Neodiprion lecontei: one gene and its partners. The protein of the gene in region 4 interacts with the protein of the main gene of each other region in a pairwise test. Links are inferred from orthologs where the notes say so. Each region holds a gene or a part of one and is shown on either strand. Other genes may lie near its edges.

Region 1 (8,986 bases), on a different chromosome or scaffold from region 4:
ACTAAGGATAACAAGAAAGTGAGGAAAGATACATATGTTAAATAGCATTTACAAAGTGCTGCGGCTTCCAGTATGTCGGTAACATTTACACGATACAGCCTTATCTCGTCTAGCAATCTTTTTGACATTAAACACGTATATGCATTTCATGGCGCAAGGAGCCTCTCAAGTATTCCTCTACGTTTTTTTTTTTTTTTATTTATTTTGTATCACAGATGTTGAAAATAACAGCCCAATTTTACGTTCAAATAGTAGCTCACTCGACACCTGCTTTTTTTTGGTTTAATCTTTGTTTCCTTTTTCAACAAACTTCCAATATTTTCCTCCTTTTCTTATTGTTCTTCATCATTAATAATGATCACAGTTGTCATCTTGACATTATGTACAAGTAGAGATATCTTGCTAAGGCCTGCCGCAGTAAAAATATATACATATTAGTAGTTTTTTCAAAAAATAGATCTTCGCATGTTTTGCAATTTTTTCTACACAATTTGTGATTTCTATTTTACACCATTTTTGATATGGGCAGGCTTGTTTCTTTTTTGTTTTTTTTTTTTTGTTTGTACAGTTTATTATTCAGGAGATCACATTCGAGTGAGCTGGAATTGGGCATATTCAGATCTAAACTACCTTGTGCACCGTCCCTCATAACACATATTCATAAAATGATAACTATATATTATGACAGACACAGAACGGTTGAAGTAAAATTTTTCAAATAATATCATCTCATCTTGTGCTTCATATATGTATATGTTCTCATTACTAACTCAAACCAATCCAATTTGGGAGTATGAATAGAATTGGATGAATTTTGTTTCTCTCAATCTCATGTATAAAGTTAAAATGATAAAATATTATTGTTTGTGCTTTTGATACTAGCTTTGTATAAACTTGAAAGCAAAACAGTAACTTTTTCGTTTGTTTTCTCAGTCACGTTCTATGAATATGAGCTTATTTCAGCACGGTCTTTTACTTATGTTTGTAGGCTCAGTCTTATATGATTTTGTCTCGAGTTAGTAATAGTTTAATATTTTACTATTACATAAAAGACCGTGCAGGCTTCTGGAAGTTTTGTACAATATATAATAGAGACGGTGCTTATATCACGTTATTCACCTACGCGCGGGTATCCCTGCATATTTTTTTTAAATCTTATTATTTGTTTCTTATTTTTTATATCATTCGTTCCGTTCTTAAACAACTTTACAAGACTTTTTTTAAATTCTTTCTCTTAGACGCCGCGTCCGTTAAATACACTTGTTGTTATGACTTCGGTTGTTAAATTTAAAAAGTAATTAACGAATCAAATTTAACAAAAATAATACAGCACCAACGGTTAACAAACAACAATTTTTACTCCACTCTATACTTAACATCACACTTTATAATTATTTTATTTATTTTACTTTAGTACTCTTTTTTCTTATTTCTCATATACGTGATCAGAATCAAACTGCTAAATCTCGTTGCTTCATTCTCTGCATTTTCATATTCGAGGTAAGTGTAGCAACGAGGTATTAGGAGCATGCGGGTGCCAAAATCAAACGCAGCAGAAATCAATCTGAGGATTAATTTTGCCACGCGCATACGCTTAACGGACTTAGAATTATTCTTGTTGGGCGTCGCGAGCAAAATTTTCATATTGAAAATTATTCTTAACGCGACTCAGGTACATATTGAGGCCCATTTTAACAGCTGAACTATTACATGTGTATGTATGATAATAGAAGGTAATATTCTATTTCATTTTACATTTGCTGCGTCGATCTCGATTACTCCTTCCAAACAAACAAGCATACATTGATTTTTTTTTTTTATAGATAACACTAACGTACGCGACGTTTAATACGTGAGATGTAGAAGATTCACATATAAAATGAAAAAAAGATGTATGTAGTTATAAGAATAATAAACAATTGATGCAATTAAATAATCGTACAAGGATTCGAAAAGTAAAATAGCTCCTCGGAATAAACGGTATACATATGATTGGCGTTGTTTTTTTTCTCCTCCTTGTTTTGTATCTATTCGTTCAACGGGTATTTCTTTGTAAACATTCAAAATCTCGCTTGAATCGCACGACAGAAATAGATACGTATTGCACCTTATAAATATTTAAGATTCGACATTTTAAAGTTACAATATTGACAGCTAATTTTCATTAACAATATTAGCTGGTAACGACTGCTAAGAGCGCGGTAGAAAAAAAGATTGTTGTATCTCCGGAACATTGCAGCGCAAAGAATGCCTAATTTACGATGCTAACTTGCTAAGTTTATATCGCAAAAAGATAGTTGAAGATAATTTTTCAGGCTTTATATTTCATACTTTTGTCCTTGCCTCTATTTAGATTATCAATTATTGAAATACATAAATAACTTGGATATCAACATTCTTGGCATTACGGCGCTCTTAGCTCTTTCACGAATGCTTAGCTGTTCGTGAGAAAAGCCAATCCGATTGGTCTTGGTATTAAAAATAACCTCGGATAGCTATTTGATTTTTTTACCAAACGATGTTTACCTCGTTTTAAAGTTTCAAGTTCTCATTAAAATATTCCGTATTTCGTAAAATTATAAATTACTTACGGTTGGCCTTGCGTTCTTTGTTTATTTTTTTCATTTTTTTTTGTTATTATATTATTAAGCAGTATACTACATTCCCAGTTTAATGGAAAAGTATTATTAACGCCTCTAACTATAAATGGAATATCGGAGCCTGCTCTGGAAGATTTTTTCCCCTTCGGTTTATTTACATTCCGTAAGGTCAGTGCGAGTTTAACATTAAATTTTAAGATTTTACGTTTAATTAGTTACCCTGTGTAATGGGTCCGAGTCACAAGAGGCTGTATCGAAGCCTTGTTGTCCAAGGTGTTAAGTAATAACAATTCTCAATGTAATTTATTTTAAAAATATTCCATTTCATCATACTCGCAGTTGACATTACGGACGCAAGATCTTCTCATTTTAATATCCTCCCTACGAAATTTAATCTAGGATGCGTTTGTGTTTGCAATAACGATCAATTTTCAAAAACAATAGCGTCGTCGATTTTGCAATTATAAATAGGTTATTATCAAATTACAGATTTATAACTGTTGTACAGAAACTCCAAGAATTACTGCTCGTTGCCAAAAAATTTTGTTAATCTGGCAGAGATAGATTTATTATATGATTAATAACCTTGGAGTACGTCTGACATGGCTATATGAGATATTTTCAAAATTCCATAATACAATTTATACCTGATAAATATTTTTCAGAGGACTCGTTACTTCTTTGAAGTACATATTCTGCAGTTAGGCATACTAGATGAGTTACAAACAAAGTGTCAAATTTAGATTATCGGGTCTTGGGATTTGAGAATTTGAAAAAATTTGTCAAACATGTAAACGCATCCAGATCATAGATTTTTGAGAATCGTATGCCTTTCTTAAAAATAAATCGATAGAAAAATAAAGGATATGACTTAGTGCCTGTGTTTCTGAGATGTGTAGTCCCCAGAAATGGCTTCTGTTGATAGATGGTGTGGTAGAAAACATGGTTTATGAATTTCTCATCGGAATCTTACTTCTGATCTCTTAGAACCATCGGCATTATAACTTCAATGCTATTGCCAGTTAGAGGATCCATAATGACAGGCGGTAACTCCGCGTCACTCAATGGCTGCCAAAACCCACCCATTATTTCACTAATTTCCTGGAAAAACCGTTTCATTTTCGATTAGTCAGATTATAGCAAATATAAGACCAACATGTACTCTAAGCATTGGGCGATCACAGTTGAGAAGCTGAAAATTTGAGACAACAGAGAATTCAATTTATGATGAAAAATCAATTCACGTCGAACGCTGTACACTTACATTCTTTGTAGCTTTGGCTGAACATGATTCGATCAAAATATCCCGCTCTGCGAATTCAAGTCGTTTCAACGTCGATCCTCGAAGACGAGTGATGGCTAATAGATCGTCTTGGAAATACTTATATCCAAGAAATACCAGCTCCATTAGTTTCGTGCAGGTCCAAGCAATGAGCACCAAGGGGTCAGGTCTATTTTAAACAGTATATAACGGTCAGGTAAACTAAGAAGACTGAATGAAAACTGGCATCGAGCTGTAGATGTGAATCTTACCTGTTCGACTCGTAAGTAGCTGGCAGGGATGGTTTCAGATCTATACAATCGATCCAGACAACAGACCTTAGAGTTTTCGAGTACCAGCTGGACAGTTGGTGCAAAGCTGTGACGTTAACGGCCTCACAAAAAAGTACCTTGAGTTCTGCTAGCGGCATCGCTGGTCTCAGAATGTCTGAATCTAGAACAATGACCGCATCGTAGGAGTGCAGCATATTGAGACGAAGCTCGCAGCGTGGGCTATAAGCGGAATAAACAAAATGACAATTATTTCGAGACAAGAGCAGTCATGCATACGGGTAATATTGAACTTCTGATTACTTTTTGTTAACGAATAACATCCAGGCGTTATTTGTGGTGCCAGGATGATCGTCGTCGAGGCCATGCACGTGGATCACTAGTCGTTCCATCAAACCATTGTCTAGTGCCTGGAGCAAAGTGTCGCTGACATTGTCATAGTCTATGGTCAGTATTGAGAGCCTTGCAAATGACCTGAATATAAAAGTGTCCAATTCCAGCAGAATATAGCCATCAGGGTCCTCTTTTATGGATGCTAGACTCAAGTGAGTCAAACTTTTTGCATGGTGGTATTGAAGCGCGTCCAAAATTACGCCCGAATTGGCGGTCAGGTCCTCCACACATCCCAGACTCAGGGCTTGGAGGGATATTGTTCTTTTGACAATTTCTAAAAGAGGTTCTAACACGGGTGTGCAGATTAGCCGTCTGAAAGGAGACGTCAATCTGTTACTGAATTTTGTACGAAATAATAAAAAATCAACAAGATTAAGTACGTACCCTTCATCTCTGTTGATCAATAGTCTCATTGGCCAATCAAAAGTACAGCTGGTCGGCTCTAAGTAAAGTTTACAAAGATGTACATTGGTGCCTAATTTAGCAAGAAGTCTGGATGTCTCGTCAACAAAATAACTAGTGGTGTCACATTTTATTATAACTTCTCGAACGCTGTGTGAAAAATAGTTGGCCAAGAATCTAAAAATGGGAAAAAATTCAATCTTACTGTTGCGACAAGATACATATACTTTCAGGTACTAGGATACGGCTTATATAAAAACACACCGAGCTCTCGGAATGTTATCCTCGTCCCTAACGTCCAGAGTGAATGTAATTTTCTTCCAAAAGCAAGGGTGAAAAAGGGCGTACCTCCAATTTCTGCATACCTGAAAATAATAATAATAATGATAAAAATAATAATAAAACAAATAATAAATATAGACCAAGTTGTCGGTTTAAAGTCAATTTATTTTGGATAATTATAGCCGACGTTGGCTGCAGATTTTTTTCTGTCAAGAAATTGGTGGTGCCAAGTTTAAAAAATAAATTCTCCCAATATTTCCGCAATTTTCGATATAATTATCAGTTGCATAAATGAAACTCGAGTACGTTATGCAAAGTGTAAATAAAATAAAAAATACTTGTATACAATGGGAATAGAAAGTGAAAGTATCTATGTATCTGGGTGACCGTAAGTACGGGTTGCGGTTTTAAGTTGGCAGCGAGCTTACTTGTGATGTTTTTATCTTTTCGTCGTGAGGTAAGTAGGAAAATATCTCGAATAAAATGACGCTGGGTAAATTGTTCCAGCAGCAGGGACTGTTGTCTTCTTGCGCCATTTCTGTCGTACGATTACCACTTTTCCAAGAGGAACAGCTGTTTGCCGTCCCTGATGACAGCTGCCCTTCTTCGCCTTCGCTTGTTGTTTTTGACTCTTGAAAATTCACAATCAGATCCAACGACTTGTCAGCCGTTCCGTATTGCGAATCGGAGCCAGCCACTCGCTGACTACGCACCATTTCCAAATTACGGATGATTAGTAGAAATTCACCTCCGCACGATCCCGCTTTTGAATATTTACAACGATATTACTATTGCGTTCGATCCCTTTGACCAACTGTCGCGTTTCTCCTTCGAGATACACACAACTACGTATTAGCCTGTTCCGATTGGTTATTAACCTTCACATACGTTTCGCACGCACAAGCGAATATCGTACACACGTTAACATCATTTCGCATTTACCTATCCATATACCTATGTATAATATGTACACCGTGGCCTGCAGGTATCTAGAGTATGTGGCGTCTGTTCCATTTTGCCACAATATATGTAGTAACGATTAAAATTATGATACGGACTCCCTACCGAAGGTAATCGATGCCTACTGCTAACACAACGTAATTAGATCAAAGCGAATGCTCAGAAAATCGACAATGAAACTGCAGAAAAATATGTCTGAATTATTTACGTTAAACTAATTCGAGTTATCTAATGTGTTTGAAAAAAACAAATTGACTTTCCCGACTCGTGACGTCATTCAGCAAGGTCACAAATATGATATTCCTCAAAGAGCTTTTGAATATCGAAACATACTTTTCGAATTTGACATTTGGATGGATAATACGTTTCCGTATAAATATTTGTCACGCGATAGTCTATATCAGCTAGAAGCTTGGATTAATCTGTAAAAAAAAAAGTTTGTACCACGGGTATGTACAATTCGTGTAGAATACTTGACGTACGAATTCAAACGCTTCTCACGAAATCAAGATGGCCACCGTGAAGAATTTGAAATATTTTTTTCACAATGTATGTACGAATATTTATAGCAACGATCAGCCGTCAAATTCTGTCTTAGGAGGATATAAAATTTCAACAATAATAGTTTAGGAATGACGAAGATATTTATTTGATTGTTCGCGTTTTAGCAATAATCTTTACATGTATTTACGGCATGTAATATAAGGAATGATGGAATTGAATCGTTGTTACGCGCCTCGAGAATTGTCAAAGTTCTGTCTGTATCAAAGCTCGAACCTGTCACGGCGGTCAACGCCAGTCAACGAGTGCTGACGAATACCAAATATCGTGTGAAATTTTTTTCTTCTGATTCCATTCTAAATGTCAGAAGAGAATGAAGCGTGTTGCCGGTCGAAATTTGAAATTCATAGTAATCACGTGTTATTGCTTGTGTATAACGATAACAAATTGTGATGATAATTTGATTATTACAAAACGCAATTTGTTAAAGTCGATTCCTGAATCGCGGGCTGGCAACCCGTCGAAACATGTTCCAGTACGATCTTTTAAAAGCACTGATGATTCGAAATTGTCAGACTCTAGTAGTTCAAAACTTACGAACTCATCACAGGAGAAAAATTCCCCTATCCAAAATGTCGAAGATAGTGATAGCGGCATTAAATCCAAAGATAATCGAACCGTAACCTTACTAACTGATCAAGTCAAAAAGGAGGCAAATCTTGATTTGAACGTCACCGCCCCACAAACGACGATACAGGTATCGCTCTAGTCGTTGTATGTACCATAAAATACGTTTCAGTATTTGCAAACAGCTCGCCTATATTCTGGTATATAATTCTTTCAGCCTCAAATACTTGGCCCAAATTTGTCTGTGAACACAGGTGCGTTGTGGCGTGGCATTTCTGTTTTCATGGGTCTGACTGTACTCGTGATCGCCTATATTATCCTACGTTGCGTAAGGTGGGCTGTAAGCGAAAAGAAAACAATTTTAATGTAATTTTTGAGATTGCTAATCCGGTATTTTCTATCTTCAAAGGTTAAGCAAAAATCGTACTCAAATGGTTCGAAAGTACGGTGTCCTTGCGCACAGGCAAGATGTTGAAATGCGGCCATTGCCATTGGATGACGAAGACGAAGACGACACGACTGTATTCGATGCCAGCGAAATAGGGATCCATGACAAACATCGGCAAACTGCGTAGTCACAGAGCGGGACACGATTTTCAACCAACTCAATGAATCAGGTATGCAAGATGAGGCAAATTGTATTTGCTTTGTACGCTAAGAAACCTTATATGTACGATTGATAACAAGTGCATGAGACTGAATGAATGTTGCACTATTGATGAATGTTGAACCAAGCAATGCAATATCAAGGCGTATTTTATTCCCCTTGTGTGGAATATGCCATTAGAAATGTATTGTGAATTTACCATTCATAATAGAAAATGCTCTGTAAACATGAGTGTAACTACATGACTAAATTTGCCTATCATGGTTTTTGAGCTTTATTTTGTATAAGTTATGATAGACACAAAATTTTGTTATTAATGTTATATGTAAGTATATATATACATATATATATTTTTTGGCTATACAAGCACATTTTATTCGGTTAAATATTCAATATATTATAATAGTAAATCTTAAATTTTCATTTTAACCGAATAAAAATACTATTGTAATTTATGATTAAAACTGTGATCAGATTTCAAATTTTTCTGCGCTCATACATGTCCTCAAAACACGTGGTAAATGAGTCGTGTTAATATCTAAAGTTTCAAAGATAAATATTATAGTTGAGTACAGAATGTCTATATTTTATTTAACACTAAGGTTTATAATAAAAATAATGTATAAAAGATAAAGCTGGACTAATTTTCTTCAAATTATATTATCTATAATGATATTGTATATACTTTCCCAGTATTTTTCTAAATTTCTCTATTACTGATCCCAGGTATACTAGTGCTTCGTCATTGTTCAATTTCCTTCATAATATACCAGCAGAAAGTAATTCGTCCCCATCCATCAAATGATCGTTCCTCGTCAATTCTATTCTCTCTATAAAATAATGTAATTTGAAAGCTAGCTAGGCGCCTTAGATACTGTCTAATGAGTTTGGAGGATAGATATTTATGGTATCTAATATCTTAGTATAACTAGAGAACAGAATTTCATAAATATCTCTTTTCAACTGCATGCAAGATGACGTCGGCCAGTCGATGCATTCCCTCTTTAGTTCTGATCGGTTTCAATGAAAAAATTTCAGCAATATCGACGCTTTCATCTCCTTG
Region 2 (8,895 bases), on a different chromosome or scaffold from region 4:
TAAGGAAGAAGAGAACAAGGTCGAAGAAGACTCACTTGACAAATTGAAGAGTATCGGGGACAAGGGTGTCGTCAAGTGTCGTAACTGCAATGGTGATCACTGGACTTCAAAGTGTCCTTACAAAGACACTATACTCGCTGGAGGTAACTTGATACTGATATTTACCCATTATTTGAAGTTCTTGCATTCACTCATCCAAAAACTTTATAATATTCAGGAGCCCTCGCTATACAAGTTCTGCGATTAGAATAGATTTATAGGTATTAGTAAAATTTCGAAAAAGTAAGACGAAATACTGAGAGATTTTATACTGTAACAGGAAGTTTTTGTCTCAAAGGAAACATTTTTCCAAATGTTAGAACTGCGTCCTTAAAGTTTGAACATTTTATTATTCCTCAGATGAACCGACCATTCAATTGTTAAAATATTTTTACCTTCAACCAGTAATTGTGTTCGGTACCAAAAGAGAATTAAGCTTTTCTCAGTCCATCTTTCTAATTTACTGATAATCTTGAAATGTTTTACTCCAGGTAAAGTTCCAGATGATAAGAAACCAGCTGGAGTGCCAGGAGCACCTGGAGCAATGTCTGATCTAAATAAACCTCAGGGTAGTAGATACGTACCACCCAATATGCGAGATGGCGGTAATAGACGTGGAGATTCGATGCAGATGACGAAGCGTGACGATACAACAGCGATCCGAATTTCCAACCTCTCTGAAAGCACTTCCGACGCCGATTTGGAAGAGCTTGTTAAGCCTTTTGGACCAATTCAAAAACTGTACCTTGCTAAGGAAAAGCTAACTAATTCGTGTAAAGGATTTGCTTATGTTCATTATAAATTCCGAGCTGATGCTGCTAAAGCTATTGTTCAATTACATGGACATGGTTACGATCACCTTATTTTAAATGTGGACTGGTCCAAACCCCCCACACAAAGTAATTAGATGTCAATTGCGCATGTGACTCCGTTTTACAAGATTAAATCCTTCTGACGCAATAATTGATCATTCGTTAAGACCCTATTGATATGTATCTTGTGTAATAAATTATAATCAAATATTTCAATGTTTATATATATATATATAAATTGAATGAACGGATTCCACGTTTCAGTAACCAAGGTATTGTTTTGCAATCTCTGCAGTTGTATCTTTGATTCTTTAATAAATTGTCCAAAATATAACTCCTCTGATTATTGATAGTTACACACTTGCAACAAAATAACTTTAAAGTGAGTTGGGTATTGCTGAAAACTAAGCAAAAGAGAATTGAACTCAGATTAACCATAATGATTCATTTTTATAGAATATACATAATAATAATTAATTCACATAGTCGTCAATAATATAATCATCCAGTAAGCCCGGATTTCCAGGAAAATTCGGTACTATATTGATGCAAGAAAGGAAAATACCGAATTATCTTTAGTATCAAAGGACTTTCCTTTCTATCCATCTTAAAAATAGTATACATACATTCTTACATCTAGTATCATGGGTTTCCAAAAAAAAAAATCACAAGAAATCAAACTCGCTTCACATCACTCATGTCGGGAGAAGCATTGTAAAATTCATTAATTCACGTTATGCAGATTACAATGTGTGGACTGTGTGACATAAAAATAAGAAAGAAAAATTCTCCTAATATCATTTATAAAAATAATCATTACCTTTCAAAGTATTACAGGTTTTTTACAGTGCTGAATTTCGCGATTTTATACAAAAAAAAAATTGATATTCAACAAGTAAGCACATTTGGCAGATAATTGACTGATCATTAACAACATTATTGTCATTATTATTATTATTATTATTATTATTATTATGTTATTGTGTTAATCGTCTTGTATGAGAATTTATTTACAAAAATGAAAATCAATTCTATTACCGCTTTCTGGCACTACTTTCGAAATACATACCTTAATGAACTTTTTACTTTATTATTATTACTTCAGTTTTCAAGAAATCGTTTACTCGTATTTACGAGAGATTAAGTCCGATTTATTCTCAGTTACTGCGACAAAACGCGATTTGTAATCAACTATACCTACTACTAGTCGAATTCTCTGGTTTTTCGTAAATCACTAAATGAGATTTTTTTCAATTCTTCTAGCTTCCTAATCTCTAACTCTAAGACCCCAAATACTCGTTCGCCTAACACCAACTGTCGGTCTGGCGACTGAACTGTATAGGAACTTGTTTATTTCAGTATTTCCGCAACTTGCTTGCAGTGTATCTAAAGTAGGTTCGGCCATTAATCCAAAGACGTCCAGGTACATTAGGCAGGGCATGTGAGCTAGTCTTAAATAAGTGGTAGGAGGAATACTGTAGCAGCGACTTAGGGCTAAGTGTTCTAACTTTGTGAGGCTTAATAGACTTTGGGTGGCATTGATTGTAAGCATTGTACAATCACTCATATCGAGTTCGATGATACGCGGGCAGCATTTTACCAACTCTTTGACATCTGCAAAAATAAGTCAATAAATAAATAACAAACTTTTAAATACTTCGTCGAGGGTCATAGTATTTAATAGCCTATTATTATACATATTTATATTATTATGTATATTTATATTTATATATTTATATACTTACTATCATCTGTCATGGTTTTCCGACATCCGGCAATATTCAGCCGGGTAATGGTGCTTGGTAATTGTCGACAAAGTAATGTCATACATTCTAAATCCAAGCCACACCAAGCAACGTTAAGAGCATTCAATCTAAAATGAACAAGAAATGTTATACAGGTAACAATAATGAAAATAAGACTGAGATTACAGCTTTCAAATAAAAAATAACAAGTATAAATTGGGAAGCAAGTACCTCACCTTGACAATTTTAGAACATCCTGGAGACATTTTATATCAATTCCTTCACACATGGTTAAATTTAGAACTTCCAAGTCTTGATTTTTGCTTATAGCAGTACAGCAAAGTCTATTCAGTGTACATTTCTCGAGAGATAATTTTTTCAAAAATTTACACACGGATAACAAAGCTGCCAATCCATCAGGCGATATAACGGACATTGACAAATCTAGGTATTGCAGCTTACTGACGTAATTTTCGTTCAGAGTTTCACTGCTTGGCTGAAATACTGGGTCTGCGATTTCTGCTTGAGCCAGTCTCAATGTTTGAACACCTCGTGGCAGGATATGTCCCAGGGTTCCTTCTCCCAAAACTTTACCACCAAGGTCTAAACGACTCCACAATGCCTCGTCACGGGCAATCTGACACCATCGTTTGCAAACAAGCATTGAACGCACCTGAAGACAGATTATACAAATATTTAAATACGTAAAAATAGAAACAGAAATGCACGTTGTAGAGAAAATTCAGATGGTGGTTACCAAGCATTTTTTCGGAAGCCACCTTAAGATCATCAGAATCATTTCGTCAGAGAGTTTGTTGAATTTATCTTCACCAGTAATAGACGGTCTTTTCTTTCGTCTGTACAAATAAAATTGATCCAATCCGTTCTTATCTACCATGTCTCCCAATTCATCTTTGCTGAAACTTTGTTTCATGTCTCCAAATGTTTCTGTTTCAACTCTTGACGAATAACCAGACTCATTGCCGATAGACAAATATACAGAAGCATCCTCCAACTCAAATGGATCTTGTGATCTCTCTGATCTGTGAACAAGTTATTAAATTTATTAATAACCAATCATTACAAAGCCGTGAAAATGAACATTCGTCTCAAGAATTAATCATATTGAAGTTAGTAACATTATCGTAACGTTTGATGCTGAGAAAAAACAACATCAAATAGCATCAAATTTGACAGCTTTGGAATTGTCTGAAATTTAATAAACAATAACAAAATAAAAACACTCATGATTCGAAATCTTAGTTCCTTCAAAATCATTGTAAAATTAAGAAAATAGTGATTACTTCCCCAATGTTTCGTTACGATAACGTTACTACCTTCAACCTTGATTAGAATAAATCAAACTGAGTTCATGAATTCTATTACTTCATTACTGTGGTATGGAAACTGTAATTTGCAAAATTGCATAATATGAAATGAGTTCTCTTCTAACAGTAGCTAAGAATTCAAAACAGAATGAGTCACAAGCGAGATATCTCATTCCTATTATTGGATCCCTAAGTTCTACCACATAATGTACAAATGGGCTTTGATCACAATTCTGCTAAGGTTGTTCACAGATCGAAAATGTAAAAATTACCTTCATAAGGGATATTACCTACCTCTCTAAATGAACAGTCTCAAAACTTGAATCTCGATACATGGTACTGTGACTTCCGTAAACAATATCTCCATTCTCTGTAGATTGCGTTCTCCTGTTCTGAGAACCAGTTGGTGAGATGGTGCACTCGTGTGTTTTCAATTTTTTCACTGATCCGCCACTCATTTCTTCGTCTTCCAACATACTGACACCCATATCTTCCAGAATCTCTGGCTCTACCAGACTTGTATCTCCTGCACAAGTCCAGCGTGTATTGTTTTTTGTTGCACTATTTAACGTGCTGTTGAGATTGTTGTTAGAGCCATCATCCAACCGTATACGCTTGCTAAAGATTGTAGATGAAATATGCATCAATTTCAGAGACAATAAAAAAAGCAAGTGCCCAATGAATACAATGAGCATTTTTAATACTGTAAGTACCATGAATCAATTTAATCAAAACGGTAAATAGTTGTCTCTAACTTTCCTAAATATAGGCTAGGCATAAAATCTGTTCTTCAATTGAGCACAGAACGTCGAAATATTTTTTTTCACTTGAAGTTAGTCTCCATGATTTTTTTACTTTTGCAACGTTGAACGTTAATGCATACTTTCATATTCGTTGAATATGGATACTCTGTAAGAATGAGAAGCCAGCTTGAAATTGTTAATTTTAAGAACAATGCTTTTTGATGATTTTAAAACGATATGAAATAAATTAAAACAATAACTGAAGATAGAAAAAAATTGAATGACTGGGTGATAAGTATTATTTGTGATATGATAGGATTTTGTCTAGGACTGCAGACAGAGAATATTCATACACAAAGAAATCGAGTATCAGATAACAAGGTAGAAGACAAAATGGGGAAACTGATATACAAAACCACAGTAGCCTAAGTTGACAGAAAAATGTAAATTTTCTCAATAAAGGATTTCTGACGCCGACTCAAGTTTTCGGCAAATACGAAGAAGATGAACGTGTGTAACTATAGGGTGAAAAATGTGTATCCGTATTTTTTCGTGGCTAAAAGCTAAGCTCGACTACACGAGGGATCAGTTTCAAGATGGTCACTTGTTGCTTCTCTGAACACGGAATCTAAACATCTGCCCAAAAACTAGGTATAGGTGTAGCCACTTTTCACCGTAAAAATAAATCACGATAAAGGGAGAAGGGCCCAAGTGCAGTGCGTATTTTTGGAGGGAAAAACAACCTGTGGAACCAACTGTTCTGGTCCATTGCAGCCTCGGTTTTGTCGGTTAACCGCGGTAAACGACTTTGAGAATATAGACCCGGTCAGTATGAAGGTTTGTTGTGATTTGAGGTCGAAAATCCAAGCAAGGATTTCTTAACCTCACCTGCGCGGAAGACTGGCACCTGCGCTTCCAAAGCAACAGGTAATGTCGGACAGCCGGAATTGGAATAATTTAAGGTTGAAGAAATTCCTGAAATTACCGACAGTATTTATGAGCGTTCGCTTACCTTTCCGGCGGCGATATTTCATCGATATCATCCACTAAATCCTCGGGAAGTCGCGTGTCCTCTTCCACGCCGGGATTCATTTTTGGCGGAATATTGACAAGCTTCTACGTTAACTTTTTTTTCTATCGCGACACGGACTCAGAAAATAAAACAATCGCCAATGGCGGCCTCCGATTGACCGGTTTAGTTCGAGATTCGTCGAGAAATATGGAGTCACTACAAATCCGGCAATTCTATTGGTTCATTTAACTCCATCGACTTCACTGTATCGACTTGCAAGTATCGATTGGTGGTCCCGCTATCCCGCCAAAATTTAAATCTTCGAAACCCTTTCACGCTCCACACTCGTACGTAAAACGGAAATGTGCCACGTACGCCTGTTATATCGTCGTTTTGTAGTGCGTTAACTCCACTGGCTACGACGCGGTTGCTCAACCGCTACGCGTAGTAGCGATTAAACGGAGATAATTCATACTAAACGTGGCACTGTAATTGTAATTGAGTGAAAAAATGTACGAGACGAGCTTTTGGCAACTAAAATTTCTCACCACTAACGCATGTCATCAAGTATATCACTTTAGTTTTTGCGCGAATTTTCCAATCTGGCTAAAATTTTTAATCTGAGAAATCCGTACTTCAGTGAATTATTGCTACAAAAATAATAATACCATGAAATTTTTTTCAAATTCACAGGGATATTCCACTCGATCTATTACTGTCCACCTCGAAATACGAAATCTATTACTGTCCGCCTCGTTATCAAGAAAAAAATACAAACATGTGTATAGATAAATAGTCGGGTGAGGAATAATTTATCGTGAATATAATGCTCAGTAAATATTTTTATACCTATACTTTATACCGAGGAGATCGATAATAAATTATAAAGATATATCCACATTAGGTCTTATTATAATAAAATGCGCCTTCTTGGAGGCAGTGAAGAAGCAATTGCGCTTTGCGTAATTTTGAATTGAAAATATTATTCGTACGAGTCACATCAATGAAGATAATGTACGCAACTCGTGCAGGTGAAGAAATGAAGTTTATTATTCCCGTTATCACTGCGTGTCTGACTATACTACTATTTTTATTCGTTTCTAAAATAAGTATATAATCAACAAAAATAAAAACTAATGTACAAGATATTCGTGACATTCGTATTATGTAATACTGTAATAAAGACAGTCTAATAAACTACTCGCAAGATATATTATAACTTCCATCCACTATAGAATTGAAGTTTTTCTCAAACATTGGAGACGAAGCATACGTTATCAGATAAATTCTGGACTACGTATCGCACTTTGTACACATTGAACAAATTTAATCGCGCCTGTGGCCAATATGCTTATAAATAAAATCTATTCCAAAGTAAATGATCGTACCCTCGGTTAGAACGTAGCTTACGTCCAGTCAAAGGATGCCAATTGACTTAATAATCAAGGCGCAATTAACGTTGAGTTGAGGATTAGCCTTGCCGAAAATCAGATATTACGTGAAAACACTACGACCGATCTATTTGCAGTTCTAGGTATGTAATTTTTGTCGTGCAAACTATAAGCATACTTGTCAGTACGGGAAAATTGAAATTTTACAGTATGCAGACTTTTTTAGAAATCTAACCGCACTATCATATTATACAATGTTAGGTTTTCCCACAATAGGGGCTCCGACTCTTTCGCGTAGGTTAATAACCGAGACCCTTCAACTTCCTGTCTATGGCGTAGATCCTCATTTGGTAGCTGACCATGTCTGATGTCTTCTTATGAAAGTTGAAGCGTGGGTCTGTCGGTTGTATTCCCCTATCGTGCCACCAGCCATACCTGGAACAAAATAGCTATTTTATCAACGATAATAATAGTGGTAATCGAGGACTATTATCTGTTACAGGCACACAAGAAAGTAGATTTGTACAGATATAGTACAGCGTACGTACTATATGTATAATGGGCGGGAGTGGCAGGCAATATCTAAATTGGCTACGCATGCTTTGACATACCTGCGTATATGATACAAAAGACGGTGATTTAATTTACAGTAAGAAATTGAAAGTAAAATTTACTAAAAATTAATTAACAACTACAAGAATAAGAATCGGAGATCAATCTGCTTCAAGGATTTTACTCTCTCTTCGAAAGAATTATTGTTATATTTTGCAAAGGCGTAAATTTATTTTTATTCAGATATTTAGCGTACCAATCTGGAGTAATATCCGATTCATTCGCAACTTGAGATATTCGTTGAGTTCATACAACGGTATTCGAGGCGAAAATATGTAGGGCGACAAATGTTACCGCGACGCGTTTAGATCTGGAAAGAAAGTTCAGTGCACCGAACCGTAAACTCGAAGTTCAAGATTAGTCGGGTGAACAGTAGAAATGAGAAGAAAATAAGCGGAAAATACTGGATCCGATATCAAATAGGGAAAGCGCAGCAGTTCGTGCCGCGCATGAGAAAGATTAATATGTTAACTATTAAATAGGTTTTTAATTTACTTTTGAGAAAGTTGCAATTACAGCTTTCGGTGCTAATTGTAGGACATACCTAATACCGACTTTCACAACCTACGTGTACTGTATACCTATACTATTTAATGTAATGTAACTCCGGGGCGGTAACAAACAAATATTCAACACCTATCATTTTTTTCATTTTATTTCATTAATTCTTGTTGTCTGTTTTGAAGATTTGATAACTCACGTATGGCTGGTAAGAAGGGGCCAACGGTGGACCGTCTTGGGGACTCTTTGCTCTTCCTCGGTGATTTTGGCCACTGTTTGACTGATTTCAGGAGAATCGCATGGCTCCGCATCGCGAGAGTAAAATTTCGGAGTTAATACGTTGGCTGGAATAAGAACAGACTACCAAACAACCAGAATATCGAGCATAAATCTGCAACTTATCGTTGGTTTAAATGTAACCGGCGATAGAAACGGACAAAATTTATGAGTACCAGAAAAAAGTTAGCGGTAAGAATGTCTGAAATTTCTGAAATTCAATTCAGTTAATTGATCATCAGTAATTGACAATAATCAGAAATGTAAATGTAAAAATTTCCGATATTCAGCGAGATTAATCAAATATTAACAAGTTACTAATTTGATCGTCCATCGAATGTGTTTCGCAAAGAACAAAGAAAGTCTTTTTTCTTCTTATACAGAGTTTGAGGAAGAATTAGTCATACAGACTTCTCATGTTGAAACTCTGCACCGA
Region 3 (6,906 bases), about 23 Mb from region 4:
AAATACCCGTAACCTAACACGTGCAAACTCACCAACGTTGCCGAATATTGGAGAAGTTACTCGGATGTCTCTGCCCAGCTCTGGAAAGAAACAAATAAGAAAACTCGAATTAATTCAAGCAGACTGGATTTTCGGTTCTGAAATTATTTATATTTTTGTTGTCTACTTCCATATATATTCACTGCATGTTAAACAGGGACAGAAATTCGGTTCCAAACATACCACATTTAATTATTAAGCAATTATTAAGATAAGTTAATCCTTACCTCCTCTGGGTTGCTCCTCACTTTACTGCATGTAGGAGTTCTCGTAGTTGAATCGTCAAGCGACGCACTTTTGACACTGCAATCAAAATGTAACCGATTATTACTCACACAATAAAGCTAAATCATATTTCGTATCACTAAATACTGTCTGTTAAAACAATTTTGTTTTCCACGATTATATTTCGGTGGTTTGTGATTTGATAATAACTGAACTGCAGAAACGAATGATAATAGAAGGTTAATCAAATTTTTACATGGTAATAAAGGATTACAGTATCGTCGGACTCCAGGAAAACAATCGGATAAAGATGGAATCGGTGACTCGTAATGGGTAAAAATACTCACCGATAAACACGAGCCGCCGCGCTACACATTGTAGCAGTATTTCCATTCGCTAAAGTTCCGAATTTTAGTTTTTTATGCACAAAAAACAACGGCAGTACGACCTACGCACTAATAAACGCGTTACAATTACATTTTATAAACGTAAAAGGTTGACGTTACTAACGTTATCGTAACGAAACATTGGGAAAAAATCACTTTTTTCTTATTTTTATAATGAGTTTGAAGGAAGTGAGATTGCAAAATGTTGGTATTTTTTATTTCATTACGGTTCACTGAATTTCAAGCACTTCCAAAATCTCAGAATAACGGAATTTCCGCACCACGAATGCTTACCGGTAACGTTACTAACTTCAACATGATACGCGATCCGCGATCCGAAATCCGAGAAACGATCTCGACAGCCACGTTTCGCAACGTCCGTTTTATCAGAACATGGGAAAAATTACCGCAACGGGAGATTATCGTAGCCTTGTCTCGTCAGAAAACGCTTGTGACTTGTCAAAAGTCTGCACGAAAGCACTCTCAATCTGTCCAATAACGTATCTAGAAAACTTTGGAAAGTTATATAAATCACGAATCCACCCCGTAACAACACTTGATCATTCTCACTTTCTGTACTGTAGTACGTATGTTCGTTGGTTGCCTCAACCGACAGGATAAACTCGGTAACAATACAAAACTACGCATTTACCGGTCATCAGCAAACAAACAAAAAAAAATGACGATCGCTAGAAGCTGAAGTTGCACAAAACAATGGAAAGTCGATACACAAAGCGCACCACGCACAAAACTCACGTACAATGTTCATAGGCTGTTTTCATTCAATTAACTCATTTTTTCTTCGAGCCAGACGCTGCCATTCGTGTATTATTCACAAATAAGTTTGGTGGGAACACACTGACCAAATAACATGATCAAGTTTGCCTGAACGGCGTGATTTAAATTCCGAACTGATCGCGCGCGTGGTTTCACTCCGGCTGCTCGGATACGACTGGCACCGATTGGCACAGAGCGATCGGATTTTAAGAGAATTTTCGTATCACACGGAGTCAGACGTAAACTTGGATTTGATGACGACTTTCGACCGAACAGAATATGTGTGAAAATACATTTATAATGAGGAGAAGAAATCGCAAAACATTCTCTTTTCTGAATGTACGAACATAAGATTTAAACTAATTCTAAAATAATGGGCGCTTTGCTTCTGCGTTAATTTTTTAACACAAAACGATACCAAGTGATTTCATTGGCCTATTCTATTAAATCCGATCGATGATATCACTTATTGTCGATCTGTGTCAGGAAATTGATGTAAAAGAAAAGGCCCCCTTTGTTATTGGTAAAGCAAAACAACAAATATGTATGTATACAATTGTTAACGGAAGAATTTAACCCTTGGAAAATTTTCGTGACGATTACTCGGTAGGTAAGTGGTCTTGCCGCCGTACGAAGCCGTGTCAGCGATCCGGTAACTTCTTCATCGGCCGCTCGCGAACAATGCTCACGAGAGACTCCCAGAGTGCCAGCATGTAATACAAGTTCGAGTCGCCATCTATGATCGAGTGTGGATAATTAGTACTAGCTATTTGGTAAATAACCAAGGAATTCAGCGCTGCAGCCAACAAAGAAGTCCGAGTCCACGTAGCCGCGATACGGTGCATAGTTATTTGCGATTTGTTATGTTGGTAAAATTCCGTACATCGACTTCCTGTGCATGGCGAACACCCGAGCAGCGTTGTCCGCGGCTGCGAGTAGTCCAAGAGTGTTGTCGAGTGGGTGTTAAACGTTCGCAGAGCCGTATTGAATCCGTTCAATGTTAAATCGTGAGTTATAGGTAATTAGTTTATCGAGGATACAGTGTGAACCGATAATGATTAACATGGAAACAGACAAAGTAATCGAGGACCCGAACACGTATAGTCAGGTGCGTATCAACCGACCCGTATTTTCCTCCCGAAACAAACGGCCATCTTATGTTTCTTAACCGCGGAGGGAATAGGAAACCGAAACCTGCCTCCCCCTCACTATTTTCACACCATTTTACACAGCGTTTCGCTATATTTAACCTAACTATTTTTTCCCCCGCGTTAACCGCTCGTCCTATCAAATAATCAGTTCCGGAGGTTATGAGACGTCGCTCCGATTCAACGGGATGCATCATCGTCAATTTCCCTCAGCTATCGTGCATACAAGACGTGCACACAAACACACAGTCACACACACACACACACACACACTTGGTCATTTCTATCCCCACATAGGACGCATAAACCAATATCAGTACTAATCCAAGCGGAGTGGACTCGTTAAAAATACAGAACAAACCGACCAAAGTAACGAAGAAAAGAACATTCTTAAAGGCATATTTTATTTTTCTTGCCGTGAATGAAAATATGTTCAAAATAATATTTGAGGTACCAATTCGTAAACTTAGATACCCTATTTTCCGAAATATCACTATTTGACGTTTCTTCCGTGAATATCAAAATTGGTTAATCAAATAACACGAAAAAAAATAATAACAATGTTTTTCATGTTGTACAGAAGAATATGGCAATGATAATAATTAATCTATTCTTTCGACGACCCGCGCAAATTATTACGTACTTTAGGAGATAATTAATTAGTTGTTGATATTACTTTTCACTTTCTTTGTAGGACGAATATTTTCATCAACAATTCATTCTGAACTACATCCGACGAAATACCGTTACGATTTAAATATTTTTCTCTCAACAAGTCGAAAATCATCGTAATAAAGTACCACAAGAAAAATAATAAATGTTTTCGCCATTTTCCTTCCGTACAGATTATTTCCGATTCAAGCGTAAGTCAAAAACAAAGAATCAACGACCTTTGTTGATTACTGCATAGAAAATGAATTTAATCGTCAGTAAACCTCTGCAATATTCTAAAAACAAAGAAACACATTCATCAGTAATTTCCGTCCAGTTATTTTTCTTCACAAACTCTACAAAAGTCACAAAGGTTTCAATCCGTGAGAATGTCGCATTTCGGAAGTACCTCGAACAAGTAACTGTACAAATTCAGCGTTCAATGGGGGAGGTGAGCACCAGCGATGAGAAAGCACAGGGGTCAAAGGGCGCGGGGTCTCCGCATAACACGAAACTGTGTATCGTTTGGCCCCCGTGTCGGTTAGGCGTATATTTATACATATGTACGTAATACGCTACATAGACGTATGTACAAACACAATGTATTACGGTCTCCTCGACGCGTCACCGTTATACCGTACAGTTTACATGTCTCTTATACCTGTGTGCGTATTCGCTTTCTCTCCCTTTCCCTCCTTTTCCCTCCGCTTCTTGAAACAAAGGAAAAGAAGAGGAAGAGGAAGAACGAGGTTCTCCGTCCCGTTTCGTTTCGTTGCCAACGTTGCGCTGGCTTGCTCCGAGAAGAGGGTCAAAGGTGAATACGCAACCGGGGCGAAAAATCCCCTCCCCCATCCCTTCTGTGCCGTTGATCGAATCCACCCCCTCTTTCTTCCTTTCTCCTGCAAAGCGTCGCCACAGCCCCCGAGAGCGGGTTACTACATAATCAATGTTTTAGTCCCCCCCCTTTCACGACCCAACCCGAGCCACCCTCTCGGCAGTCAGTCAGTTCCACTGTTTGTCGGTGTATGTACGTCATGCCGTGCCACGGCCCTCACACCCTTGCAAGTACGTGTGTATGATATGCGTACACAGGGGCGTAAGTAGGCCAGAAATTCGACACCCGATCCGTCGAGCGAACCCTGATCAACGTACGTGATATAACAATGAGAGTCTCAATATCAAAATAACAAAGGTAAAATCGCGGTGGAGTTTAAGAGATTTTTGATTGAATCGACGGTCGTTTCATTTCTATCTGGCTGAAGTTTGTAAAGTTATTGCAATGTTGTGTCTTTAGAAAAAGTCGTTATTTTGCAACTTTAGGATGACTTGATATTTAAGCAACTGTTGATAAAGCATGAACGAACTCTGATTTTGTAAATTCAACTTCTCCAGTTATTCTTAAGGTGCAAAATGGTAATTTTTGTTTCAATCTTCCGATACGGTAACGTTGCTAACCGCAGCGACGTTTATCTTTCTTCAATTTTTTTTATCGCATCGCAAAGGGATGCCGGGTGTGTTTCAATCAAGTTCAAATCGATTGAATTCAGAAAGCATTGCCCTGGTTGCTAAAGCCGGCACGATTACTCTCACCTTAGGATGTGTATTATGTACGGTACGTGTCAAAGTGTTGCAGGTACAATTACTTGATTAATTAATTCATTAATTTCCCTCCTACGTCGTAAAGCCTGTGTTCGCATAATACGTATGTGTATTACGCCACGCGGGTGTATAATTTGTACAACGTGTAATTAATTCTTCGTCACGTTAGACGGCCAGTGCCGCGAAATTTGTTCCACGAAACAGAATCAGGTCTGCTTTGCGTTGGCGGGCTACAGAGTTCGTAGTTTTCCCTGTTGATTAATTATGGACCTTCCTTAACATATATATATTGTTTTGTTTGAAAATTTTCCGCAGGCCTTGACAAGCTTCTGTCTTCCGTGTACTTGACTTGCTTTAATTAACGTGGATCGATAACTAGAAGATCGAAAACAAAGATTACAGTAAGAATAGGAAAAAGAAAAAGAATATTATACGGACGATTCTTACCGCAGCCACGAAATCCAACCTAATCGTTATGTAGCATTAGTTGCAGCAGTCACGGATAGGTATAGCCGATTAATTTCGTTCCAGCAAATGAGAGAGAGTCGATTCCGATTCATGTTTTCGACCAACCGCAGCACAAAACTCGATTTTCTCAATCTAGGCTCGGTTTTGATCGGGCATTGACAAATACGATCCGTACTTACGAAATAATAATCACTAAGAAAAAAATAAAAGAATGACGAAGCTTTGTACGACAAAAGATAATTAAAACCAAAGTATAACGAAACAGTGACCAAACTTCGTATACAAAAGAGCGTATGTACATATTGTACATATAATGAGATTGAGAATTCGGCTCACGCGTAAATCCTATCACTTTGTGTTACGATCCGGTATACACGTTGCTCAGGAACAGTATACCTAGAAACTTTTGACGAACTCTCAAGGTTGCGATTGAATCGCGGTACCTACACCCGAAAGCGACGGATTATTAAGCCCGGAGATGGTCAAGCGAAGGACACGTAAGGTGGTGCTGACTGCTCACCTATTCATCCCGGTGGTTCTTTTTTTTTTTCACCTTTTTACCATACATGTACAACTCTGATTGGTGAAGGTCCTGCGGAAATTTTTTTCTTTTTATTTTTTCTTTTTTTTTCTTATCCATACACTGGGTTACGTAGGTATAAACCCGTCCTTTCATGGTTGCGAATTACGCGCTTCAGGGACACGACGCATCGAAAATAATGATTGTGTACAAAATATTGATACGTGAATATGTAGGTACGGAGGAAGCCTTGAACTCACACATCCGCATCACGGGTCTTTGGTTACTTCCGATTTCCGGTTAAGTACGCGAGGTTATTGAACAACGCGTGTAAAAGAAGCTTGAACCTGCATGTATCGAAATTCGGATCTCTCTGATCTTGCTCCGGTATTTAGAGAGAATTGATACCAGATTGAAGTTTAGTACCTAACGTTGATGTAGGGAATTATCGAAACTGAAACGATTGTTTTGAAAATTTAGCACGGATTTGAAGAAGCTTAATTTACAAAATCTGAATACACTGCTTTTTAAAAATATACTACTCAATGTTGAGACGATCCTACATTTGCGAAATAATGTTTCCTGAAAATAAGTCGTTGTATTAACGATACGAACTTCACTCTCTTGTATTGTTCAAGTCCGAAGAAGTGTTAAATTCACTCGTATGGTGCATTCACACAAAATTTCAGCCGTAATTATCGGTCGGTAGTCACTGTTTGCCTGTCGTCGATTTTTTCCTTTCACGGAACGCAATTGCGCTGGTATATAACTTCATTATTATTATAGTTATTGCGTAAGCGAGTACATCGCCCCGTTTTTTGCCAATCTAATAGATTACAACGATCGATGTTCTCGATATAATGATAATTAAATAACAATAACAATACCAATATCGATATGTCCTCGCGTTGCAAGTGATACTTCAAAGGAAGTTTTCGACTTGTTGCACGTTACGAAAAAACCGATAACAAAACAAAAAAAAAAGACGTCAGATCAACGCCGAAGTAGTCACGGCTTGACGACGATATCCGTTCGTTCCCCCTTGAAGAATTCGGTGGTTTAATTGCTCAGGTGACGCGCGAGCGAGCCAGCG
Region 4 (6,541 bases):
AATTTTTTCACATCCGCTTACTGCAACTCAGTCGACCTGTTCATAAATGAAACTTTTCAATTGGCTCACCGAATGAAGAAAAATCGTCTCGTTAAATGCACGCGATGAATCTAGTTTTAACGAATGTCGTGCATATATACTTCGGCTGCAGTTGCCGAAGCACGGATTGTTCGCAAAATCATAATTTAATTCACAAACTGATTATACTAAATTCAAACCTGCGGTGTGTCGTCCACAATTGACTTCCCACGTTTAATCACGCTCCAGATATTTACTGGCACTGAATAATCTCACCTTTGGCTTCTGACTCTAAAAAGTTTGACCATTGAGTGGAAAATAATGTGTTATGGAAACTTGGCACCGCTCGGCATCTACCGGACTGTATTTTATTCAGATACACGGGATCGGGTCACCTGTAGCTTCTGCAGTAGCTCAAGCAGTCAAGCTACTGATCGATTCCTTAGATTTTTTCCTAAGATTCCTTTAATACTGTTATATTAATCTTGAAAATTGGTCAAGTGGCACGAGTGCGATGCTGCGGGTTTCAATCGTCGTTGAAATCAACAATTTAGTTGACACTAACTAAACATTTTGCTAGACCAGCATATCTTGAATGCCGCCCGTGACCACGTATTTAGTTAATTCAATGACTTGTTTCTATTAGTGAAGCCACGAATAAGGTATTTTGCCAGACCCGATGTCCATTGCTAAGATGTTAGTGCCAGAGTTTGACTCGGTCAATATTGATCTAGGAATATTACTCACGTGTGTATAATTTTCAGTTGCAGGAATTTGCTTCAATTAACGAAATTAATACATTATCGGAATGATTGATTGAATTGGACACCGCTGAGAGCAATTCTAACAATGAATTACATGATCTTACGAAGTCACACAAATTGTTGAAATAAAAAATTGGAGAGCTACAAAATCGACGAAAGTTAAATATTTTTTGTGACAACATAGAGTAAAGAATAGGATAAACAGAGAAAGTCTGAGTGTTTTGACCTGAATCTTTCTTTGAATGGTATACATGGAGAGAAAAATTTTATCTAGAGTCTATCGCAACGTGAGACTTTTTTCGGAAAGAGTCGCGAGATTTTAAACAAACATCATTTGAAATATTCGATTCCAGAAGTTTCTGTCAGAAATGTTTTCACGTAAAAACATGTCGCAATTTCTACACTTTCATCGTTTATGATTCCAACTTTAACGGAAGCATAAACTGAATAACTTCATTAAATCGCCAATAACAATTGAAGATATCCCAATAAACCAAAATGAATTGAATAGAATTGAGTAAGTCCGAAAACCGAATTAACTCGATTTGAAGCGAATTGAAAATACTTACATATGTGCGAATTCTTTTGAATTTGTTTTAATTTCTTTTTTCCAATTCATGCCAATTCTGTTTTTGCAGTACTCAATTCGATTTGATTTACTGTGATATCTAATTGCAGGTTTTGCTATCTTCAAACCTAGCTTTTCGTTAATATTGGCACAATAATTTCGTCGCAAGTATAACGTAATGCACGAGTTAAAAATTATTATACAGCTACAGTCGCTGGACAGATATTTCTCTTAAGACTTATTTAATGCGTTTCATTGGGAAGAGCTTCTGGTCCCGTTATAAAGTTGAAGAGGGCGAAGAGCAGCACTTATTTTAACTTATTGTTCGTACTCATTCAGTTGGAGCAATCATGATTAGCTGCTCTACCCTTTTCTAGCTCGACTAACAGACTCAATCAAGAAAGCTTTGTTTTAATTTCATTAATACGCTTCAGTTAGTTTATACTAGACGCGACCAAAATACTTGAATCGTTGATTCTCTCTACGATTCTAGCCCAGTAAACGATCCTTCGCGCTCTTTACACAGACCACGGCGGAAAAATTCCGACAATGGCGATCCGTTCTGGGTCAGCGATTCAATCGGGCTTATTTAGCGTTTTATTACACAGAATAATGCAAAAATTAACGACGTCAGTTCTCTAGGATGGTTATAAAGTTCAAATGCAACGTGCAAGTTTTGTATTTTCTGACATATTGGGACACGGTCATTTTCTTAATTCAAATTTGAATGGAAAAGTCGAATTACGGAAAGTTTATGCTACTTAATAGGATAGAAAGGCTGCAAGTGACTGTTGCGGACTAGGGACTTTTATATAAGCCTAGTTGGTAAATTTGAGACACAGGAGTGAGAAGCGACGCTCATAATTATATATAACCCACTCAATAAATACTTATTCTAAAATACTAAACTATGTGTTATCACTAATATACGGCAGTACCCGCACTTGAAAATTTGAAAAAAACAGATAAAAGCTGTTTTTTCTTCGCTCCATAGTTATTTTGTTTGTGGAATTCAAGCAAAAAAATGTGAGACTTACAGCCATTTTAAATTTCCTTTTCAATTTACTGCTCTTCCAAAATTTTCCGCAATACGTAAACGCAATTCATAGCGCCCTACGCCAGTCGGCTGTTTTCAGCATATTAATTCTTCAAAAATAACAAATTTAAAATCAAATCTCAGTAAAGTATGAGTTTTATTTTCCAAATTGTAAATACTCAACATGAAACACGATGTTTGATCGCTCCAACAACGCTCAGTTTGAAGTGTTCCAATTTTGAAAATTTAAGCACGGTCCTGACTGCCGACAGCGCCATCTATGAGCCGTTGCGCCTGCGTGTTGCTGACTGAAGTTTGTCGTCGATGATCAGAGAGAGATCGCAGGGTGAGCAGAAAGCGAAAAAGAGGGAGGTAGAAACTAAAGACTAGAGAGTGTACTAGAGAGCCTGGCAACGTTACGCTGTGATTCATTATCGGTTTCACACAACGGAGAATTGGAAGTAACTTGAAAGGTAATTCGATAATTTATTTACGGAGCTTCTTGCCTCGGTCAAAACGTTTGTAACAAAACATTCGCTGGGCATTGTTTATCGCCTTGAAGTTGGAAAAGTCGTTGCACGGGAAATCGGCTAATGGACGAATATTCGTTGCCCGCGCATGTTGTTATGATTTATAATTATTCGTCGATTTTCAACACCAGACATGAGCTGCTTTGCATTAAACCCTCCAGGAACGTGTCTTCTCCGCATATTATGACCGGATACGCCCGCCACTAACGTGCCGTCGAATTTTATTGGGTTTATAACCCTTATCCAAAACCTTGGGTCAACGGCGAACCTCATTCTCGCAAGGTTGTTGCCGTGCGCGCCAATATCTTATCCCTGTGGTCGACACTCGCTACCTGACGTTTCCTGCTCGACGTTCTCATCCGTAAAAATTTTACTCGCTGCGGAGAAAGACCGAATATTCTTTTTCGAAATTACACGAAATCAAACGCGTCATTGTCCATGCAGCATTTTTCGTATTCACTTCGTGCGTCGGAATTTTCATAACGTTGTATGACTCAGATTTACAAGTTATAAAAATAAACATACCCTCATACTTTTCGCGGAAATCGATTTTATTTTTCAGTTTTTTTCTACATCAAAAATCTCTGTAATGCTATGCGTAAGCATTTTTCAGTTCAATGCGTTGAAAGAAAATGTTTACGTCCATGTCCCAAACTCAATTCACTCTGTGGTAAACGGACTGAATGACATTGAAATGTAGTTTATACACAGATCGATAACATGGACTAGGAGTTGTTCAAAGACAAAGAAACTTGTACACATAACAATAATAATAGAAGAAGGTCGATTCTTGTACCTGAAATATTGACGTAACTGAACTTATGTTTGTCTTGTTTTTAATCACAGATGCCGAACATAAAGCTGCAGAGTTCGGATGGCGAAGTATTCGACGTGGATGTTGAAATTGCGAAATGTTCAGTCACGATAAAAACCATGCTGGAGGACTTGGGAATGGATGAAGATGAAGATGAAATTGTTCCCCTACCAAATGTTAACTCTGCTATCCTGAGAAAGGTCATTCAATGGGCTACGTATCACAAAGATGATCCACCACCACCTGAAGATGATGAAAACAAGGAGAAGCGAACTGACGACATCAGCTCTTGGGATGCTGATTTTTTGAAGGTCAATTTTGCATTCAATCAAAATGCTAATATTATAATTAATAAGAGACACATTCCTTTCATTTGAAAATTTTCTTTGACAATTTTTCACTCTTAAACATCTTTGAAACGTAGTCTGTGCAAGATTCATTATAGTTTTAACGACAGCTACTAATTTGCTTCGTTTTATTTATTTACAGGTTGATCAAGGAACCTTATTCGAACTGATTTTGGCAGCAAATTACTTGGACATCAAAGGACTTCTAGATGTAACGTGCAAGACTGTGGCAAACATGATAAAGGGAAAAACACCAGAAGAAATCCGTAAGACGTTCAATATAAAGAACGATTTTACAGCTTCAGAAGAGGAGCAGGTTCGCAAGGAGAATGAATGGTGCGAAGAGAAGTAGAAAGAATCCGAGGAGGGACGAAAGAAATGCTTTCTAAATCATCTGTAACTGTAGGTTTATCGCGTGTTAAATCTGAAGATGTCTTTCGCAAACTCAAATTTCAAGCTTGTCGCAACAGAAAAACTCACCCTCTGAAAAATTTAGCAATAATGGAATATTCCTGTTCCAGCCGAGTTTCTCCATTTGCGTACAATATCCCTAATTCGAAATTAGAAATACCAGCAACAATTGCTTGGAGAAATAAATTTTTGCAGCTGATATGAATATTTTCTAGGTATGCTGGCTACGTTAATAGAAAGATTTACATTCTGGATACAATTTCTTTCGGTCTGTTTTCACTCTCTAATGGAAAACATGATTTTTCGGTTTAACGATCCATACCACGAAAGTATTAATTTAACAATAGCACGATTAATTTCTGTGTATAATTAACCAAGTATAACTTCAGTCTATTTAAATATCAATATCTTCGAAATCTGTTATATCTGCATCTCATCTGTGAAGCTTTGATCTTCTTCCTTTAGTCCAATCTCTTGTGAATACGTGTATCGAATCATTTGATAAAATATGTGATTAACAATGTGACTGAACTTCGAAATAATAATAAATTAGCTATCTTTTTGTTCGGAATGTAAAATATCAGTTAAACGAATTCGGCAATGCAGAATTAGTTTTTTTTTCCTCATTCAAATCTGCTGTACTTCATTCTTCTTAATTTAATTACTTATAAAATATATCAACCCTTAATGTAAACATTAGATCCTATAACAAGAAGAAAAGGGTAATATTAATATGCGTAAATAATAAAATTCATTTTTCGTAAAACAAATAATTGAAAACTTTTTTCTCAAATTCGGGATCACTGATTAAGGTGATGATAGCTTGTTTCTGTTTCCCTCATGTTACGGATTTGAAGGAATGAACGTATGCGCGCACCATTTTCTACAAAAACAAACAAGGGTGGAAAGAACTAAAATTGAATTGTAGGAAATAAATGTCTGCTGTTATTTCCTTTTCGTACATCAGCAGCCCAGCCTAAAATAATAGAAATTGAATTATCCATACGAAAGGTAAGCATTAAATATTGATCTTAGATAATGCATTGATTGGGTGCCGTTCGTATTATGCGAATTACGAATGTATTTAAATTCAAGTAGAAATGAATGACGGTTGTAATCCTAACCTCAAATCAAAGTATCGTGAAAAAATACTTCCACAATTGTCAGTAATCAACCACTTGTTGATCTGGTGATTATATTCAATCAATTCAGTGAGTAGATGAAGTGATTATGTAATAATTATTCTGATAATAATTAATTATTCCGATAGTTACCTTCATTTCGAATTTCTCTTTTGCATGAACTCTGCGACAAGAGGAACCGAATTATTATAACTGCCGTATGAGCACGCAAATGACAGTGTCAGTATGTTGAACACCATCTGTGACTGGAGCTCGCCTGAAGACATAGCGATAGAGTATCATAACTCGGAGACAATTAAGAAGATCAGTTATTCCGAGCTTAGCGATGCAAAAGTAAAGATTGAAGCTGTGTTAGCAGGTGCTGTTAAAAACCATCAATTTGTGGGGATAAATTGTGACGTAAAAGCTCCAAGCATCCCTGCTCTGATCTTGGGGTAATTGTTACGACGAATAAAAAAAGTGGCATTCAGTGAGATGTCCTTTTGCAGTAAACACGATGAAATACCGATACTTCATATTGAATAATTCTTTTTTTTTTTCAGAATCCTATCTCAAGGATCTGCATTTGTGAATTTGCCATCGACAGGTGTAAGAGAAATTTCCTCTAGGATTGGACTATCATTTGCATTTTCTCAATCAGTACTCTCTGGGGCAAATTCCCTATGCGAAGTCGCCGTACACGGAGAAACGGTTAAATTACTAGAATTGGAAACTATCGATGGTACAAATAACATAGACAAGAATGAATTCGCGTTCGCTATAACGACATCAGGCTCAACAGGAATACCAAAAGTTGTGAAAGTTCCTCATGCTTCTATAGTGCCTAACATTTTAGAACTAAAGCAAATTCTCCGCTTATCAAAACATGACAAAATAGCACAATTAACGAAACTGACTTTTGATCCTAGTAT

The links.
Region 1: the proteins of S-phase kinase-associated protein 1 (region 4) and F-box only protein 33 interact in a two-hybrid assay, tested with the Drosophila melanogaster proteins (2 studies listed by BioGRID). The link is inferred for Neodiprion lecontei from reciprocal best matches to the Drosophila melanogaster genes SkpA and CG4911.
Region 2: the proteins of S-phase kinase-associated protein 1 (region 4) and S-phase kinase-associated protein 2 interact in a two-hybrid assay, tested with the Drosophila melanogaster proteins (2 studies listed by BioGRID). The link is inferred for Neodiprion lecontei from reciprocal best matches to the Drosophila melanogaster genes SkpA and Skp2.
Region 3: the proteins of S-phase kinase-associated protein 1 (region 4) and beta-TrCP interact in a two-hybrid assay, tested with the Drosophila melanogaster proteins (3 studies listed by BioGRID). The link is inferred for Neodiprion lecontei from reciprocal best matches to the Drosophila melanogaster genes SkpA and slmb.

What each region holds. Positions count from the first base shown.
Region 1 is NC_060264.1:3,976,982-3,985,967, forward strand, and holds the start of F-box only protein 33, read right to left. Parts: upstream 6,557-8,986; 5' UTR 5,945-6,556; coding exon 5,657-5,944; intron 5,312-5,656; coding exon 5,211-5,311; intron 5,124-5,210; coding exon 4,929-5,123; intron 4,857-4,928; coding exon 4,455-4,856; intron 4,374-4,454; coding exon 4,134-4,373; intron 4,052-4,133; coding exon 3,865-4,051; intron 3,702-3,864; coding exon 3,570-3,701; 3' UTR 1-3,569. Other genes in the region: uncharacterized protein LOC107227470, read left to right, coding at 7,063-7,446, 7,534-7,649, 7,726-7,891; uncharacterized protein LOC124292600, read right to left, coding at 8,867-8,986.
Region 2 is NC_060263.1:36,417,080-36,425,974, reverse strand, and holds S-phase kinase-associated protein 2, read right to left. Parts: upstream 5,899-8,895; 5' UTR 5,760-5,898; coding exon 5,680-5,759; intron 5,529-5,679; exon of another isoform or gene 5,437-5,528; coding exon of another isoform or gene 5,411-5,436; intron 4,543-5,410; coding exon 4,219-4,542; intron 3,640-4,218; coding exon 3,354-3,639; intron 3,270-3,353; coding exon 2,833-3,269; intron 2,725-2,832; coding exon 2,597-2,724; intron 2,466-2,596; coding exon 2,119-2,465; 3' UTR 1,837-2,118; downstream 1-1,836. Other genes in the region: eukaryotic translation initiation factor 3 subunit G, read left to right, coding at 1-143, 531-946; uncharacterized protein LOC124294177, read right to left, coding at 7,370-7,505, 8,383-8,527.
Region 3 is NC_060265.1:30,824,448-30,831,353, forward strand, and holds the start of beta-TrCP, read left to right. Parts: upstream 1-2,314; 5' UTR 2,315-2,481; coding exon 2,482-2,535; intron 2,536-6,906. Other genes in the region: acylpyruvase FAHD1, mitochondrial, read right to left, coding at 267-342, 612-640.
Region 4 is NC_060265.1:8,167,806-8,174,346, forward strand, and holds S-phase kinase-associated protein 1, read left to right. Parts: upstream 1-2,709; 5' UTR 2,710-2,859; intron 2,860-3,762; coding exon 3,763-4,041; intron 4,042-4,219; coding exon 4,220-4,429; 3' UTR 4,430-4,448; downstream 4,449-6,541. Other genes in the region: beta-alanine-activating enzyme, read left to right, coding at 5,856-6,064, 6,173-6,541.